2 linked regions of the Elephas maximus indicus genome follow. The protein of the gene in region 1 interacts with the protein of each later gene in a pairwise test. Links are inferred from orthologs where the notes say so. Each region holds a gene or a part of one and is shown in the gene's direction. Other genes may lie near its edges. The genes, in order: RPIA and PCMT1.

Region 1 (3,910 bases):
AGAAGCACAAAGGCCAAGTAATTTTAAGAACTTCCAACTGGTCTCGGTACGGCTGTGGCATTATTTTTGTCTGTAAAATTGGGACCCTATTATTTTCTACAGCCAGAAACCCAAAAGGGAGAAAATAAGAGAGAAAGCTGTTAAGTTCAGTGAAACCCAATGCCGTGTATTCAGTTCTTACTCAAAGCGACCCTATAGGGCAGAGTAGAACTGCCAAGACTGGCACATGTTTCTCCTGCAGGGAAACCAATCTTTAGGTAAACAGTCCAGTGCTTAACCACTGCGCCACCAGAGCTCCTAAGTTCAGTGAAAGCCCTTGTTAATCATCAAGAAATGCAGGGACCGCTATATGTGGGGCCAGGCTCGATCTGGACAAAGCACGCCATCCAACATCACCAAGTGGGGAACAACGTCTAAGGTATGGGGTTTAAAATTTGTGGTCCCGGAGTCTAAGGATGGACTTCAGCGCACGGGAGCTCTGAAGTAAGTTTCCATGGAAAGTGAGTCTACTTACCCCCAAGTACCAAGCCACTAGCGGCTCCGGAGAAGAAAGATATGACAGTCTTGCTTCCCTAGAGATTTACAGCCTGGGAAACTCTATGGGGTCACTGTGAGTCGAAAGGATTCGACGACACTGGATTTGTCTTTTTTTGCGGGGGGGGGGTACCGTCGCGTACTTGTCGTGACGTCTCCAAAAGAGCCACCACCCTGAGGTCTGGTCCACCGCCAGGTTCTTTTACTGCTGGGAAAAACAACAGGGCCGGGACCAATACCTCTTTCTAGGATATGTGGGCTGACAGAAAAACCCCTGGGATTCATCCACCTCCCCAAGGTATACAGACGTTTTCGAACTCGGTTGCAGGCTACTCGCGCCGCACTTGCTGACGCGCGAGGTTGTCGCCGAAGATTTGCACCGCCAGTCGCGAAGCATTGTGGGGCAGGTAGTCCAAGCTGGGGCGCGGCTTCGGACCGCCGGAGCCATGGAACTACATTTCCCAGAGAGACCCGCGCAGCAGCGGGCGGACGCTATGTGCGTAAGCGACCAGACTTCCGGGCGGCCCGGGGGCGGGACCGTGGTGGAGGCTGGAGCGCGGCGGCAGGATGCAGCGCCCCGGGCCCTTCAGCACCCTCTACGGGCGGGTCCTGGCCCCGCTCCCCGGGCGGGCCGGGGGCGCGGCCTCCGGTGGAGGCGGCAACAGTTGGGCCGCCCCGGGTTCCCACGTGCAGCCTCCCGGGTGCGCGCAGTCTGGGTCCTACAGCCGCACCGGCAGCGCAAGCACCAGTGGCGGGGGTGCCAGCCGCGTCTTCCCGGCCCCCTCCGCGATGTCCAAGGCCGAGGAGGCCAAGAAACTGGCGGGCCGCGCGGCCGTGGAGAACCACGTGAGGGTGAGCAGCTCCGGGCATGGGGCGCCTGCCGGTGGCCTAATGGGCTCGTGTTGCGCCCTCTGGACACTGCCGGCGCGCCTGGTTCCTGGCGGGTGGGGGCTGTGTGAGCGGGAAGGGGGGCGCGCGGTGTCCGTGGTTAGACCCCCTTCTTTTCTCGCTCCTTAAAGGCTTTCTAGATGTGTCGGGTGGGGGCGAGCCCCCCCAAAAGTTGAGCTTTGTCAAGATTCCATGATGGGTCGATAAGTTTGCAAAGTGGAGCCTAGTGGTTTCTGTTTCAGGCCTGGGCTGGAAAGGACTTTCCCTGTGGCAGCCTTATGAACAAATGGGAAGTGGTCGAGTTCTGGGGCTCCCGAGGGGTCTGTCTGGTTTTCACAGCGCAAAGTTCGTTTGCAGAATGCTTTGAAGTTTCTCTCCAGGGAGGTTCTTAGTTTGTCGCGCGCCTGTTCCTGAGTGTACTCGCCAGAGAGAATGGGAGACAGAACCGAAGAGGAGTGGACTCTAGGTCCGGAGGATGCTGCTCCTTAAGATGTGGGTGTGGATGTTTAGCTGTTACTTGGCGAGGTCATGGCCTCACTTGTTTATTTAAGGGGCGGGTGTGGAGCTTTTAGTGGAGGAGTCTTTTAACCTGAGTGGATTTCCTGTAACCAATCAAGTTAATTATTTTAATTATAGTATCTCGACGGAAGCCAAATGGGATATTTCTGCCCTGCAGTGGAGTTTCCTTGGCCTTGTTGGCTTTTTGTCTCCTTTTTCTGCTTCTTGGAAAGTGGTATCAGATTCCTTTTCTCCGCTAATCATCATTTTTTACATTTGTTAATGATATACTTTATAAAGTTATTTTGCATAAATGATGTCGTTTGAGCTTCACAATAGCCTGATTAAGTGGGTGGAGCTGGTGTGATAACCTGTGGCTTTGTGTCTGTTGAGTGGAGGGTTCCAGGACCCAGCTGAGTGACCCCCGTTTCAGTGCGTTTCCACTCTTTTTTGCCACCCACTTCTGGTGTAGTGTGATGCACATCTAGTTAGTCTTTTAGACCCTGTCTGGGAACACACAGAGGTAATAACGTAAGATTTGTAATCAGCCCTGTGTTTGGGATTCAGTGCCTCTGCTCTGAGTACCTGGATACAGTGGACAGTAGACAGATAAATGAAATCTATAGAAATATAAAAGCTCCGAACTGAAATTGTTCCAATAACCTATTTACATTAACACTTGGTAGCATATGCCTGCCAGATCTTTGTCTGATTGTTATATATTCAGTTAAATAAAAACCTGCACACCCTCATCTCAGGGTATAGACTCTAAACCCTGGATTCCAGCCACATCAGTCTGTGAGGTTACCAGGCCACCCAGAGGGCACCTCACCTCAGCCTCAGTTATACCCACTTACCTTGTCAAAATTTTTTCCTGAGATGCCAACACTATTTGAATTATGTATTTCTGCTCTTTAACATTGATTTATTCGTTTCATTCGTTTTTTGAGTATTTATTGAGCGCCCATTGATGTCAGGCAGTGGGATAGCCAGAAATGTGGCTAAAGGGAGGAGGCGGAGAGTCAGGTCCTGGGTAATTTGCAGACAAGATAACTGATTCAAGGCCGCACATTTATTGAGGCAGCCTTGTGCCTAATTGTCAAGGTTTAGCTGCTTCTTCCAGGGATTATCCTCTGCTTTATCGAAGGCCACCTTTTTCTGTAGTACTTTGCATCTTGCAATTGTTTAATCACGTGTCTGAGTTTATTGAAGTAGGTTATGTGCCAAGCCCTGTTAGTTACGCCTTTGGAATGTTTTTAGAGTTGCTTCTTCCCTTTGGCCAGCTGTTGTGGACTGAATTGTGTAATTCCATTTGGCAGTGGGGCTTCCTTTGTTATATTATCGAGATCATATCAGTCTGGGTGTGTTTTAAACTTAACGACTTCTAAGATGGAAAAAGAACAGATTAGGCTTGGAGACAAGTTAGCACAAATGGGAAACAGATGCCCTGTGGGGATCTTTGGAAACCCTGGTGGTGTAGTGGTTAAGTGCTGAGGCTGCTAACCAAGAGGCCGGTAGTTCAGATCTGCCAGGCGCTCCTTGGAAAGTCTATTGCGTAGTTCTACTCTGTCCTGTAGGGTCACTATGAGTCGGAATCGACTCAATGGCAGTGGGTTTGGTTTTTGGTTTTTGTTTTTTATGGGGATCTTCAAGGAATCTGAGGCTAGGATTTTCTCCCAGAGCTGACACAGAGAGAGAGGAGCTTTCCCCTAGAGCTGGTGCCCTGAATTCATAGTTTTAGCCTCCTGAACTGTGAGAAAATAAATTTCTGTTCATTAAACACACCCACTTGTGGTGTTTCTGTTAAAACAGCACTAGCAAACTAAGACACCAGCCAACTGTCCCAGTTTGGGCTCTGCCATGGCCAGAGAACTGCAGTTGCTCTTATCTTGTCCCCTCTGCCAACTTCCTGAGTGACGCCCTCCCAAGTGATGTGTTTTCTTCTGAAGCTGTCATCTGTGTCACAATGGCCCCAAGTAGCCTTCATGTA
Region 2 (3,910 bases), on another chromosome or scaffold:
CTTATGGTAGCATCACATACAAATGCAGTCAGTCTTGGTCGGCTTTAGAGAATTATCACGTTCCTCTTAAGAACGTCACATTTTTTTTGTTTTCCCCAACCAGAAGACCATCAGGAAGCTGCAGAAAGATGAAATGGAAAACTACTAAATTAATTGGAGTCCCAAACTAACACTTTTACTCCTAATGTTGAAGTGGAAAACACTTATGAGTGTGGTTTCATTTATGTCACTGGATCCTTAAAAATAGACAAGGTATATTGTGGATTGGAAGTGGGCGGCATGCCGCACTTGACAGTCTGTTAAAAACTAGAATTTGGAAGTTGCTGCTGCTGCAGCAGCATAGGATGTCTTGACATAGCTTTGCTTCTTTCCTTAAAAGACTACTGAACTAAATGATGCCTGAATTGTCAGACTCAGCTCTGATCAGGAGTCAGCAATTTGGATGCAACAGGCAACGTTCCCCGTCAGTCTCTTACTCATCATCTGCAGAGCTCATAGCAATAAAGCCAGCGCCCAATCTGACAGTGGAATTTGTGAGGCATCATTAGCTGAAGCGCACACTTGTATTGAGAAAATAACACATTCACCATAGGATACTGAGGTATTTTTAACCAATTGTAGATCTTCACGTTTTTATTATTTTAAGGAGCAGATCACCTCCTCCCCATTCCACTCTGAATGTGTGCTTTAGGACTGAGAACAAACCAGGGTCCCAAAGTCTCTGCTAACCAGTGATGTTTTTATCACAAAGCCAGAGGCTGGCGTCCTCGGGTTCTGCTGTGATTATTCAGGCTCCCTCGAAGGGAGCTCTTACTCTAACCGGCCTAAACGGGACGGAGGAAGCCCACCATCTAACAATCTGGGCAGCTATAGGAGCAAAGCCGCCGCTCGCAACAGCTGACCCGGAGGGGACCGCAGAGCCACCCGCAGCGGCGAAGCCAGATCCGCCAGACAAGGCGGCACAGATCAGCCCGGCCATCCCGCCTCCGCGCTGCGTAACCGCAGCCGCGGCCCGGCACGCGACCGACCGCGCCCAGGCCCAGCCGGTGTGGCCGCAGGGAGAACCCCGGGAAGGGGCAGCGCGCAGCCCGAGGTCTCAGGAAGGGGCATGCAGCCGCGGCGGCGGTGCTGACTCAGCTCGCTCTCCTTGCGGTGCCCGAGCAGCCACTGCAGCAACAAGCGCGCGGGTACGCCGCCACGCCCGCCCCCGGCCCCACCCGGCCGCACCCCGGGCCGCGCGGCGTCACAGGGCGCATGCGTGCCGCGGGGCATGCCGGGAGCGCGCAGTGGCGGCAGGAGCGGCGACGGCAGTAGCAGCGGCGGCCACAGCGGGGACGCGAGCGGGGCGGTCACCGTTTGGGAAGTGGTCTCACTCCTGGGGAAGCTGCTGGGCACCGTCGCCGCCCTGAAGGTGGTTCTGTACCTGCTCCGGGTGTGCTTAGCGATGGCCTGGAAATCCGGCGGCGCCAGCCACTCGGAGCTAATCCACAACCTCCGCAGTAAGTGCCACCCCCGCCCGGCGTGGGGCAACTAGGGCAGGCCGGGCCTGGACCAGGTCCCCTCGGGCCGAGCTGGAACCTTCTGTCTAACCTGTCTAACCCCCAGCGCTTGTCGGAGGGCTTCGGCGCAGGCTTGCACCGGTAGTCCCGAACGACGTGCGTTTGAGATCACCTCCCCCGGGACCTGTCACTCATCGGCGACGTGGAGGGGAAGGGGAGAGAAAGAGCAAAGCACCGCTGCTGGTGGGCAGGGGCAGTTGTCTCCCTGCGGGTGTGGGGAAGGGAGTGCCGCACAGGTGGTGGGGCTGTCACTCGAATCCGCAGCCTCTGGTCCGGGTCTGGCGGGCGAGGGGCGTGCCCTCGCGGTCGGGTGGTGGTGGCCAGGCCGCCTAGAGACTGGGCTAGAGCTCCGGGGCCCCACCCTCGTCTCCCGCGTTTTCTCACCTTCCTCCTTTATAATCAACCTCGCTGCAAGCTTGCTTTCTTATTTTGCCTCCCCCGCCCTCCGGTTTTTCCTCTGGAGGGAGATGCCACTGTCTGATACCGGCAGAGGGAGGGAAAGGAAGATGAGAGTATTGCCATTGCAGATGTTGGGAGAAGGCTTGTGGGGGGCGGAGGAAGAGATAACCAGGGGATGCTGTTTCTGAGAGACTTGTGGTCCTGGGACCCCAGCACACGATTGTATGTGAGGGATACCACATGCTTTAGAAAACCTTGTGTGGAAGTTCTTTATACCATTTTCTTTAGTTGTTTTATTCCTTTCTCTGGCGGTAATTTTAGGGTGGGATAAGTGCTGTGTCACTTTCTTTTTTTAAATTGAAATTTAGTATCGTCGTCTGTTCCAGAGTCCGGAAGGACCACAGTCCATAATAATGTCATTCTGGTCAGAATTCATAGCATTCTTTTTGCCACTAACTTTGCAAATAATCGTATTTGCTACGTGGTATTTTTTAATTATCATATATTATTTAGCTTTTCGTGTGTTCGTCTTATCTCTCAACTGGATTTGTAACCTCGAAGGCTGGGGTCATTAAAAAAATTTTTTTTTAATCCTCTCAAAGAGCTTACTACTCATTCCTTTTTCCACAAATGCTAATAAAGTATCCATTATAACCCTGGGCCTGTGCTCCGATACAAGGATAAGAAAATAAGTGTCACAGTCTGGCATATGGTTGTACTTAATATGCTTAATATTAGTCATATATCATTTTTTAAACAGTACTTAAAATATGGAAATTGTGTTTTTAGTGTTTAGTAATGAAGAATGTTTAGATTTCAAAATTCTGTCAAGCATTGCCATCGTCTTATTTTATGAAAGGATATTAGAAGTGGGTGTGATTTAGGTTCCCATGGATTGCACATATACTCAATATGTTGTATTTTTATAAAATTTCTTAACATGATCTATGTGCCTGCTGTTGCAGAGCACATACCTTAAACATTCTATACATGAATTGCGATTAAGTAATTTTCCACCAGTGGGTTATCCCAGTAGACACTTGACTGAGGTAGAAATTTGTAATCAGTCAGTATCTTAAGATCTTTCTCTCCTTTTTGGGCCAAATTTGTGTTAAGCCAAGACTAGACCTTATTCCAGTGGCTTTATAATCACTTTAATGTATTGCATTATTATTCTTAGCTGAGATTTCTAAGAATGTTTTTCTGTCAGATAATTTAATGAGGAATATTTAACATACATTCATATGATATTGAAGATATTTAGTTTTATATTGGCTCTATGATTCCGAAGAGGAAATTAGAGTACTTAAAGGAGCCCTGGTGGCGCAGTGGTTAAGTGTTTGGCTGCTAACTGAAAGCCCAGCAGTCTGAATCTGTCAGCCTTCTCAGGAGAGAGATGTTGCAGTCTGTTTTAGTAAAGATTTACAGCCTTGGGAATGCAGTGGGTCAGTTCTCTTCTGCCCTATAGGGTCGCTATGGGTGGGAATGATTCCAGGGCAATGGGCTCGGTTTTGGTTTGGATGTTACTTAACTTCTTTTTGGAACACTTCTGCAACTTTAGTTTCAACTTTTTGCTGAGGTAATTAAAAAAAAAACAAAACCAAAAAACCCGTTGCCTTTGAGTTGATTCAGACTCATAGTGACCCCTATAGGACAGAGTAGAACTGTCCTGTAGGGTTTCCAAGGAGCAGCTGGTGGATTCCAACTGTCTACCTTTTGGTTAGCAGCCTGAGCTTTTAACCACTGCACCACCAGGTCCCCAAAAGGTAATTTTAGCTAACAAATTTCATTTTTATTTATTAGTTTACTATAAAAATAATATTTAACCATGTAAAAATTTCATTTGGCACAAAAAATAGAAAGTCCTTCCTCCTTCATAGTAATTCCACTGTTGCGTATTCCCAACTTTAAAGGGTTCTAACTGAAGCCTTAGAAAAAGATGGACTGAAAAG

What was found.
Region 2: the proteins of RPIA (region 1) and PCMT1 interact in binary tests that used the Homo sapiens proteins (3 or more experiments, as listed by UniProt). The two-hybrid records come from large-scale screens. The link is inferred for Elephas maximus indicus from reciprocal best matches to the Homo sapiens genes RPIA and PCMT1.

The regions. Positions count from the first base shown.
Region 1 is NC_064835.1:46,778,426-46,782,335, reverse strand, and holds the start of RPIA (ribose-5-phosphate isomerase), read left to right. Parts: upstream 1-1,068; 5' UTR 1,069-1,101; coding exon 1,102-1,386; intron 1,387-3,910. UniProt on the Homo sapiens protein: Catalyzes the reversible conversion of ribose-5-phosphate to ribulose 5-phosphate and participates in the first step of the non-oxidative branch of the pentose phosphate pathway.
Region 2 is NC_064819.1:221,029,577-221,033,486, forward strand, and holds the start of PCMT1 (protein-L-isoaspartate(D-aspartate) O-methyltransferase), read left to right. Parts: upstream 1-1,259; 5' UTR 1,260-1,270; coding exon 1,271-1,499; intron 1,500-3,910. UniProt on the Homo sapiens protein: Initiates the repair of damaged proteins by catalyzing methyl esterification of L-isoaspartyl and D-aspartyl residues produced by spontaneous isomerization and racemization of L-aspartyl and L-asparaginyl residues in aging peptides and proteins.